2 linked regions of the Daphnia pulex genome follow. Each later gene encodes a partner of the first gene's protein in a complex. Links are inferred from orthologs where the notes say so. Each region holds a gene or a part of one and is shown in the gene's direction. Other genes may lie near its edges.

Region 1 (5,680 bases):
CTATATTCAATTAACTGATTTCGGCCAATAAAGTTGATTGATTTTCTTCAAATACACAAAACTTTTCCCCATGAAATGGGGCGTATTACGTCAGATTCTGATCACATTAGATTCAATGACGTCAGAACAAGATTGTTTAATGTTACCGATAGATGGCACTCCAGGTATTTGTTGACTCGGTTCGTTTTCGTTCAGTGCAAAAGTAGGTTGAAAAGTTGAAAATTCAACTTGTTTTTATCTAGCTCTTATATAACAATAAGTCAATAACACGTCTGCCTCATCTCCTGTAGAAAACGCATGCTTATAGTCACGTACGTAGACGCCTTTAGAACAACATCAATTATCAAACCCTTTGAACTTTGATAGGCAACTTATCATAGTCATCTCTGCTGACTACGTCGTTAGGGAGATACCTTGATCTAATAAGTTTGGCAACCACCTTGCTAGAGAAGCTTTAGATACCTGTTGCTCTGCGCGAAGAATTTAAGGTTAAAGAATTTACTTCCAATTTCATTTGCTTGATCAAAAATAATCTATAAATACTAATTTAGGTAATTCTAGTTTCACTTTTAAACCATGGCTGATGCTAGATTGAAAGCTGTCCTTGGCCACATGAATAATGGTTATCAGGTACTATTTTATTAATATTCATTTTCATGAAAGTTGTATACATATACTTAAAACTGTGTGTACTGTTATAGGGACATATGAATGGCCACTCAAGATTCCAGTACACCTTGGACAACCCTATGTTGACGCTGGAGCAGAGGCAATTCTACGAAGACAATGGCTTTCTTGTAATTCCACGCCTTGTTAGCTCACAGTTCTTAGATGCCTGCAAGGAAAGATTTCTTGCCTTGTGTGATCGAAGAGTCCCATGGGGTGGAATCACCATGATGAAAGACATTTCTCTGGCTAAAAACAACACAGTGTCAGGTGAACGTCTTTACAACAAAGCTCAAGACTTTGTCTACGATGAGGTTCTCTTCCAGTTTTGCCTGCTTCCTCAGGTAAGCACTTGTTCTTTTTTCTTCATTTTCACGTATTCAACTATAACTTTTCAATCTTTAGATTTTGGACCATGTTGAATGCTTTACTGGACCCAATATTCGCGCTATGCATACCATGTTGATCAATAAACCACCTGATACAGGAAGTCAAACTTCTCGCCATCCTCTCCATCAAGTAATTGACACCTCAAGTAATTTATTCTCGCTCAAATTTAATTCTCTTTGATGACAGGACTTGCACTACTTCCCTTTCCGTCCGGCCGATCGTATTGTCTGCGCTTGGACTGCCATGGAACGCATCACGCCCGACAATGGATGTCTGATTGTCTTGCCCGGCACCCACAAAGGAGTTTTGCATCAACACGACTATCCCGATTGGGAGAAAGGCGTCAACAAAATGTATCATGGAGTTCGTGGATATGACAATCACCCAATGGTCGAATTGCCAATGGAGAAAGGTAATGAATCAAATGAAAACTGAATGAATTAAGAATTCTGACATTGCAAACATTTTTATAGGTGACACTGTTTTCTTCCATCCAATCCTTATCCACGGATCGGGAATGAACAGGACCAATGGATTCCGCAAAGCTATTTCATGCCATTACAGGTAAAATCATTACCCCAGTGCGAAATAATTAAATTTGTTTAATGTTGTGTTGTTGAAAAAACTTACAGCTCGGCTGACATGCAGTACATCGACATCCGCGGAACTTCACAGGAAAATATCGCCAAGGAAGTCGAAGAAATCGCCAAGCGTCGCGGCATGGAACTCGAATTCCAGGTACTAAATTCACCCAACATTATTTCAATTGTGGGGGGATTTCTAAATTTATTTTGTTTGCATTCGGGGGTTTCAGGATATCTGGCGTTTCCGTAGTCGCTTGTGTCGTGGCCGTGACCCTTCTATCCCGGCTTAGAACTCGAGTATCAACATATTCTAGGGCTTCTTTCATCCGCCTTTATTGCCAAATTAACCAATCAACGTACATAATAACAAAATGGGGTACTTTTTTTAATCTGTATAAAATATTTTACTTATATAATTCTGGGAATTTTGTTTGATTCAACTTATGCAGCTGTTGTCGCAATACAGTTAAGAAAAACAACGCCGTCATTATTTGTTATCAGCTTATCATAGTCCTAACGAGATAAAAGCATTTACTGATTCCAATGTCCTTCAACTGTCATTGCACGTTTTATTGAAACTATATAAATTTTGAAATACTTATTAAGTAAATGTCGAAATGGTGCAATGAGGAAAGGATCATCTAGTCAAAATTGATTTCAATATGAATCGCAGAGTAATTCAGATGCAACTGAGCAAGTCAAATTGCAGAGCTGTTGCGCTATTAGTCGAGGATTTAGAGTCTGAAATCTGAATAGTTAATGGACGAACCAAAAGAGAACTTGTGACATGCGCATGAAATCTTAATTTGACTCTGATCAACGGCTTACAAAAATACGGAGAATCAAATTAAACAAATTATTCTGTTACAGAAGCTTCTAGAATCAGTTTATTAGTGAATTGATAAGCGGAACGAAACGTTACACAAACGGTTCGATAATGGAACCTTATATATGCGCACAACTGGTGCTCCTACTTACTAAACTACAAAATGTTTTTGGTAACTTTAGGTAAGTTAAAGTTAATTTAATCAATTTATTGTGATTGTTATTTTGTTTGTTTCGTTGTAACCGCCCTTTAGGAATCAAACATTTTATCATTCTCGAAAATATTTTTGTGTACGTGTTCAGTTCACGAAGTAGACTTCGGAGCACTTATAACTATAAAGATACTTGTCTAGGCATGTTTCATATGTTATCTTAAACAGGGCGTGATATGGAATTGCGGTATAAAACCCACTTTTTGGTTTTTTAGTCCATTGTGGCTAGACGCAATAGCAAATTGTGTGTTTTATTCTCTACAATTCCGTAGAACTTTGTAGTATTTTTTTTTGTAACAGTAAAATTATATTGAAATGGTTAATTCACGAACGTTTCGTCAGTGAACTTGAGTTTCCTGATGAAATGTTCTTTTTTAAAAAATCCCAGCATTAATAATTATATTAGTAGCATCATTTTAAAAATTATTTTTATTTGAAATATTGTAAATAGTTTAATCGAAAATTTGCAACTTCTAGAATTTGGGATATAATTGACCACTCAAAGTTTTTACATATCAAGAAAATTTGCACATTCAGCTCTGTATAACGGTGAGTTATCTTTTATTTTCGTTATTAGGCAATAATTCGACGTTTTTTTTCAAGTACCGCTTCCGGCTATGACTAATAAAGAATTGGACAAATTCCACAGAGACGTTAGTTTATTTTACATTTTAAAACCGTCGGTAAAACCCAGCACAAATTAAAGGGGATATCGATTAGAAAGCTGAGTCACCCGCCCTTGCATTTTAACCATAGCAATATCGATTCAAAATTGCGAAAGTTTGTCGGAAGTTTTGGGGAACCGTATCGTATTCTGGCATTCTTGGTATAGGTAACAGTAAAAGTTGGGACATTGGCTTCGTCCTTGTTGTTCCCCCCCTCTCCCCATTGTTAAAGTTGCCCTGCGGCAGTACGCATTCCAAAATCAGTCGCCATCTTAAGCTTTCAAAGGCCATTCGGGTACATACATACATTCTACGCTTATTCGTGTTCCTCCCATCTTTGTTATCAGCCTTGTTGTGAGGAAAAATGTATCATTTTTAAGGAAATTCATACTCTTAAATTGGTAAGTTAATCACTTTAGTCAGTTTTAAGTGCTATTTCATTCAAATAACAGCGAAAAGTGGATTTAAAGCGATGCCCCCATTATTAACGTGTTGTGATGCGCAGATTGCTATTGTAACGTTAGGATTTCTTTTGTTGTGTTTGAGCCTTGGGAGAGCATTTTCTACTTACTTAATGTTTGTGTTTCTTTCTTTGCAGTGTGGCTTTTCCAATCTACCTTTTCAATTCAACTTAATTAATCGACTGAGTGTGCTCCTCTAACAAAATGAGCTCAACTGAAATAGGCACATTTCGTCAAAACTCACTATCTTCACACCAGTTTTGTCATCAATCAAACAACAACGTGATTGATGCTCCAATTCACCCTAGTTTGCAGAAAAGTGTCCCATCCAGCAACAGCGCTTCTCAAAGAGCTTTAAGAAGTGAAGCCCTGCGATTAGCAACTTTCCAGGGATGGCCCCTCGAATACCTTTCTCCTAGAGATCTTTCACGTGCTGGCTTTTTTTATCGAGGCCTGGCAGATCAAACCCAATGTGCATTTTGCTGCATTACCATCAGCCAATGGGAAGCTCACGATGATCCCATGGCTGAGCATAGAAGACATGCTCCAAATTGCCCTTTTGTTCTTCAATTATCAGTTGGCAATATCCCTCTCTCCAGTAATAGAAGTGTCCCCACTGTCCAACCCGTCGCCTCATCCTCACGTCCATGTGCATTCCCCTCATTGGGCGGTGGTGGTGGCGCAGATACATGCTCCCGATTTCAAAACGAATCTCGTCCCAATGCATTACCCGAAAGAGGTGAGCAATTTTCATCAATAATTTGTTATTCAGCAATTCAATCTCTTGTTGAAATTTAGTTCCAGTGGCATTAACGATCCGTCAAGCAAACGGCGGTGAAGGGCCATCAACTTCGGGTGACTTGTCATCATTGAGTCTTTTGCCACATCAACAAGCTCGTCATCCTGAATTGACATCGTTAGAAGCTAGATTGAAAACGTTTGATGATTGGCCGCCTGGTTTAGAACAACGCCCACCGCAGCTAGCTGAAGCAGGATTCTACTACATGAGTACGTCGAAATTTAATACCATAATGCCGAGCAATTTTTTATTTTATTAATTCGATTCTTTCTTTTTTTCTAAAATAGAAACTGGCGATCACGTCAAATGTTTCTGCTGCGACGGAGCTCTGCGCAATTGGGAGCCCAAGGACGACCCGTGGGTAGAACACGCCCGTTGGTTCTCGCGTTGCAACTTTCTAGTATCCGTGAAAGGAAATGACTACATCAGAGAAATTCAAGCTCGATACAAGGTATAATAAATAAGCACGAAAAGTGTTTACATCCTGTGAGTCATATTAACAAATCATTTGAATATTTGTATAGCAAAATATTCCTGGATCGAGCGCGGCTTCAGAAGATTTAGTCGAAGTTAAAGAAGTTAAAAAAGAAGAAGATGGTAAAAATGTATGTAGTGCTGCTGTGCAATCGTCGGAAGAAGCTACTGGCGGTGATGCGCCATCCACTTCTGCTTCGTCCAAACTACGTGACGCCCTTCTTTGTCAGATCTGTTATGACCAGCAGCTCAGTATGGTCTTTCTACCCTGCGGGCATTCCATGAGTTGCCCGTCCTGCGCTACTGCTCTCACCACTTGTCCCCTCTGTCGTAAACGCATCGAAGCGACGGTCCGCGCCTTCTTTCCCTTTTCTTAAAAAAACAAACATACGGTAATTAAATATTGGATCAGAGAAGAAACACACGCCCCTAGTTATGGCGGTGTACCGGAACTTGAAAACGCTTTTGTTTGTATGTGGAAGAGAGATAGCCTTTATATGCATTTGATTTAAAAAAAAAGTTGGCTTAAAATAATTAGCTACAAAATATCCAGATAATAAATGTAATTACAAGAACTCTCTCGGTTCAGAGGCACATTTTTGAC
Region 2 (5,138 bases), on another chromosome or scaffold:
CCGCACTTCTTATCTATCGATCTGATATAGTATATAAGATTATAAGCAAGGATCATTCAGAATTTAGTGCACTTTCTTTAAAAAAAGTAGAAAACATGGGTCGCATCTTCGCTTCGCTATTACCAGTTGGCATTTTAGTTTTATTATGCTGGTCTATTACGATCGCAAATGGCCTTTCTGTAGAGGAGCGCTTGCAACAATTATCTGATCAGTTGGTAAGAATTTCTCTCAGATTCACCAATGAATTTTCGTAATAAATTGAATTAAATCTAAACAAGATTGAAGTGAGACAAGTATTGAAAGAGAATGTCGTTCAACTGGAAATCAAAGACGCCAGGCTAGAAGTGCTCGAACAAAAAGTTGCCAGGTTGGAACTCGCCCTGGAGAATGAACGAGTAGTCAACTCAAAATCCATTTTTAAATACGTCGATGCAGTCAACGCCCAATCAGGTGGAAAGAGCGGCAGCATCCACAGAACGTGCAGAGAGGCTCATCTAGCGGACCCATTCCTCACTTCCGGAATGAACTGGATCGATCCTGACGGCCAGGGAGTTGGTGACAACCCCATTTACGTCTACTGCGACATGATTAAAGGTCTGAACAAGAAAATATCCAGAATCTGAATGAATATTCTAAAAGATTTCACTTAACTTGACGTTGTAGAATCCACATCCATCCCACACGATAGCGAAGGACCTTTGAACGTGGGCCATTGCGCCGATCCGGGTTGTTATTCCAGAGCCATCAACTACAACGCCACTAGTAGACAAATGTCAGCTTTGGCTGAGTTATCGGCGGAATGCCATCAGATAATTAAAGTTAGTAGCACAAGTTTGAAGTTTCCCTTAAACTTGCATGGATGAAACTAATATAGTCGCATTAATATTTTTACTGGACCTAGTATGATTGCAACTTTTCTCCTTTTGAAATTGCTGGGGTTTCTTATTGTTGGTGGAACGACAAAGGAGGCATTGCCAAATATTTCTGGTCGGGCAACAACACAGACACCCACACCTGCCAGTGCGGGATCGATGGAAATTGCGTCGAAACTCCTTTAACATGCAACTGCGACTCTGCTGCGCCTATTCAGTTATCCGACGATGGTTCAATATCATCTTAAAAGATTCTTTTGAATGTTAAATAACCGACCAACTATTTTTAACAAACGCAGGAGTCATTACTGATAAAACTGTTCTGCCCATTACTCGGCTGAATTTTGGTCGAACTCAACTAGAGACTTCATCAGGTGTCCACACACTTGGCCGTTTTGAATGTACCGGACAAGTGACTGTCACTGGAATGCCAAAGTCATGCGAAGATTTGTGGAGAAAGGGGCACACCTTGAGTGGATTATATTCCGTTATGGGAAGAGCAATGATTGAAGCTGTTTATTGCGATTTTAATAAACTGCCCTTTGACTCAGGTATGAGCTTCTTTAATACAAGTTCACGTATTGTAAACTTGTAACGATTTATAGTTCTACATAGTAATACATAATCAAATTTGCAGGTTTCCAGACGTGGATCGGTTACGCGGATGTTAAATCTTCTCCTACCTACTTCTACGCTCAAAGAAACGTAACCTTTAACGAAACTAAGATCCCTATTCCATTCGACGTTGAAATACTAAACGTGGGAGGAGCCATGAATTTTACATCAGGCAAATTCACGGCACCGGTCGCGGGCAAGTACTTTTTCTCCTTCACGGGACTGATACGATTTACGGGATCTTCGACAATACAGAATTGTTATCTTTATTTGTATAAGAACGGGGATCGAATTGCAAGGAGTTATTCTGACGAGATCAGCGCCACAGTGCAAGATGAAACCCTTTCCCTTCAATCAACGTTGAATTTGAATAAGGGAGATCAAATCTGGTTAGAAATTGATTACTTAACACCAGGGACGACTTTGAATGGTCCATTCAGCCAATTTAATGGTTTCCTGCTCGAGGAAGACATTTCCCAGTTTGTAAAAACGTTGATGGTGTGATGATTGCATGATTCGGAATGAAAATGTTCATTTAAAATTCAAGACAGAAATTATTTACTGTGCGATTGAAAATGACTAATTGACTTTCTTTGCTGATTTCTAACAATAAAACTATTTGAACAAAAAATGCCAGACTTGTAGTTTCTCATTTTGGAAACAACAAACAAGGAATGAGATGCATTCGCAATTAACATTACGATGCAGTTGCTATGGAGTTCAACACACCATAGCCTAAGTGATTCATCCCTTGATTCTAGAAAAAGATAAAAAATCATTTTATAAATTATTTATTTTTTTAAACAGATTGCTCCAACCCGCCAACCGTCCGGGAAACTGCTTGGTCATTTCGTCAGTAGGTTGCGCTGATGTCTTTTTCAACTCGAATAAAGGAGGCAGAGGCAGGTTCGTTAAAATCAATGCACAGAGATAGGAACTGTCAAGTAAACTGTGATTGTGAAAAAATCTATTGCTAAATAGTATAAAACTGTTTGAGTCATCTTGGTTGAGTCATTCCTGAACACTAACCAACAAGTGGCATAATATTGTTTTGTAAAATAAAATGGAGGAAGTTGGAATTCAGAATAATGAATTGGGTTCAAAACATGATGAACCTGATGTTAAATTCAAACAGTAAGTAAAAAAAAAGAAAGGCTTGAAACTATTTGACACTCAAGTAATCACTAATCACATTTATTTTTTGTCTTTGAAGGCCTGGCTTGAATACCGACCTTCCCAGCTTTGCTTTCCTACCTGTTGATCGTGACTCAGAAGCATATAACATGAATCATGTGAAGCGAGGGAAGGCTTGCATCTTTAATCACGAAAACTTCAACCCCAATCTTGATTTAAAACCACGTGCTGGAACATCTAAAGACAGAGACAACCTGTACATGAGGTTGAGGGAACTGGACTTTGATGTCACATATTTCAATGATCTGACATTCAATGAACTAAATACTGAAATAATTAAATGTAAGCAATTTCCCATAGTTGAATTTCATTTTCAATTTTGATTTATTTGTGATTTTTTTTTCAGTGGCAAGTGAGGATCACTCTGAACACGATTGTGTTCTCGTTGCATTGATGTCCCATGGTGATGATGGCATATTGTATGCCAAAGACCAGCAGTACAAACCTGAAAAATTGTGGTCCCACTTTACGTCTGACCAATGTCCCACATTGGCTGGAAAACCAAAGCTTTTCTTTATTCAGGTAAACATTATTTAAAAAAATGGACTTCACTGTCCCCAAATACCTTGAGTTAATTATGGTTTACTTTGAAAAGGCTTGCCAGGGGGACAGATTGGATGCAGGTACAACAATGTTGCCCAGAGTCACAGAAACCGATTCGCCCAGTGCAGTGGCTTACAAAATACCCACTCACGCGGATTTCCTGATTGCGTATTCAACTGTTCCGGGTAAAAATGACATTGTGAAAAACGTACCTAATTTACTCCCAATGACTTACTCCATTGCCATTTTGTGGGCGCCCCGGTTGCCTTTTTAGGTTTCTATTCCTGGCGCAATACGACTAACGGATCTTGGTTCGTCCAGGCGTTGTGCTACGTGCTGTCGGAGCGCGGCCGAGAAGACGATCTACTCTCCTTGATGACGACCGTCTCTCGAATAGTCTCGATCGGCTTCGAATCCAATACGCCTCAAGACTCGAACATGCACCAGCGCAAGCAAATTCCCTGCGTCACGAGTCTCTTGACTCGGAAAATTTATTTCAAGCGCAAGACGACTCGCCGTATTTGATTGAAAAGCTACGAAACAAGAAAATGTTGCCTTGTTCTTCTCCTTATCAAGAATTCTTCACAACGATTTAAGTTCGATCGCACTTTCTATCTCATCAAGTAAGTCTTTCAGACGACAATTCAATACTTTGCTCACTTTTTTATTTGCTAAAGTGCTGTGTTTGTATCAATGCAATGCGAAGCCGTTTGTATACACGGGCAAACCATTTCGGTTAAATGGACGGACTGGGCGTCAAGTTATTTCGAGAAACAAACGAGGTCGACACCGTGTTCACGTTTTCTTTTTCTTTTTTGGAAATGGTCAGCGATTAACTTACAAGTCCGTCTCATGAATGAAGGGCCGTTGCAGGGGCTTCCTTTTGTGGCAGTGCAGAGCTGTAAAACTAACGGCCGGTGGATTTAGTGTCCAACAAAGAGGACTTAAAATGTGGATGAGCTCTTAAGCTCTACCTATAACAGTCCATTTTGATCAGCAGGTCTCTTCATTAATGCTGCATGCTTCTCTATTTCTCTTGTCCGTCGTTGCTGGCCCGGCCCCCCCCCCCCCCTATCGTCTACAAATAAGCTGCGGGGAGAGGAACAGGGGAATATGGACAGGCAACATGAGCTCAGTTGGGCATCTCCAACGTCTCCATAAATCTAAAATTCCGATCAGATATCCGAGTTGAACTGTCTCTCTCTCTCTCTCTTAACTTTTATTTTTCCCCCTTTATTTTCTGTTGGAAAACCACGGGTGTGGCTTTAAATATTCCGCCATAAATAGATTTTTTTTTTTCGACTTTAGACCGGTAGCCCAAAACGTAATAGAAACCAAACAAATATCTCCAAGGCAACAGCAGGCAGACCAGCAGCAGCAGCCATCTCCCCCTTCATTTATGATAGGATATCCCGTTCCAATTGGCTCTAGCTATTAGTACTCTACTTGAGGCCATTATTTCACCGCTGGACCGTCAAAAGATCGTTAGAAAAAAAACCCGTTTGCAAACCTGGCAATTATTGGCCAAAATAAAACATCTACAAAAAAAAGTGGACGGACGGCGTGTGTGTGCATGGGAACAAAGTATAGAGGTGGAACGTTTGGCCCCGTTTGATTTACAGTCGTGGTAGATGGTGACACCGTCCTAAATATCTCTTTTTTTTTCTTCTTCCCTCCTTTGTTACCTGAGCCCCTTCTTTTACGATCTCCACAAGGTTTTGGTTCCGTTCGTTTTTGTGCTTTTTTTGGCCTAGAGATTTTCTCCTCCAACATTTCACCCCCGAACTTAAAGAAGAGAGAAAAAATGGATGAATAAATCAAATCGGGAAAAAAGGTTACAAAGTGTCCGCCCCGGTGTGTTTTCTCCCAATGGCGGCTGGAAGAAGGGGGAGAGAGATGCGCATACATCGCTAT

Evidence for each region. The genes of interacting proteins can lie anywhere in the genome.
Region 2: the proteins of putative inhibitor of apoptosis (region 1) and caspase-1-like are in contact, whole or in part, in a crystal structure (PDB 3SIP), measured with the Drosophila melanogaster proteins. The link is inferred for Daphnia pulex from reciprocal best matches to the Drosophila melanogaster genes Diap1 and Drice. Residues at the interface, in NP_001261916.1 of Drosophila melanogaster: Gln101, Pro105, Asn106, Arg111, Arg113, Ile132, Ser133, Tyr134, Asp135, Ile136, Cys137; in NP_524551.2 of Drosophila melanogaster: Tyr256, Ser257, Trp258, Arg259, Asn260, Thr261, Thr262, Arg263, Trp266, Asp298, Phe299, Glu300, Ser301, Cys302, Thr303, Met309, His310.

Annotation. Positions count from the first base shown.
Region 1 is NC_060026.1:15,700,052-15,705,731, reverse strand, and holds the start of putative inhibitor of apoptosis, read left to right. Parts: upstream 1-2,880; 5' UTR 2,881-3,226; intron 3,227-3,272; exon of another isoform or gene 3,273-3,743; intron 3,744-3,940; 5' UTR 3,941-4,007; coding exon 4,008-4,542; intron 4,543-4,601; coding exon 4,602-4,811; intron 4,812-4,889; coding exon 4,890-5,053; intron 5,054-5,126; coding exon 5,127-5,453; 3' UTR 5,454-5,680. Other genes in the region: phytanoyl-CoA dioxygenase, peroxisomal-like, read left to right, coding at 577-630, 702-1,010, 1,072-1,185, 1,243-1,468, 1,530-1,620, 1,689-1,794, 1,871-1,930. UniProt on the Drosophila melanogaster protein: Anti-apoptotic protein which functions as a caspase regulator, using its E3 ubiquitin-protein ligase activity to smother caspase activity. Binds, ubiquitinates and inactivates initiator caspase Dronc, and effector caspases Drice and Dcp-1.
Region 2 is NC_060028.1:7,606,513-7,611,650, reverse strand, and holds caspase-1-like, read left to right. Parts: upstream 1-2,363; 5' UTR 2,364-2,550; coding exon 2,551-2,621; intron 2,622-2,700; coding exon 2,701-2,963; intron 2,964-3,027; coding exon 3,028-3,203; intron 3,204-3,276; coding exon 3,277-3,409; intron 3,410-3,498; coding exon 3,499-3,749; 3' UTR 3,750-3,965; downstream 3,966-5,138. Other genes in the region: uncharacterized protein LOC124208790, read left to right, coding at 96-215, 279-594, 664-818, 902-1,103, 1,172-1,423, 1,510-1,991.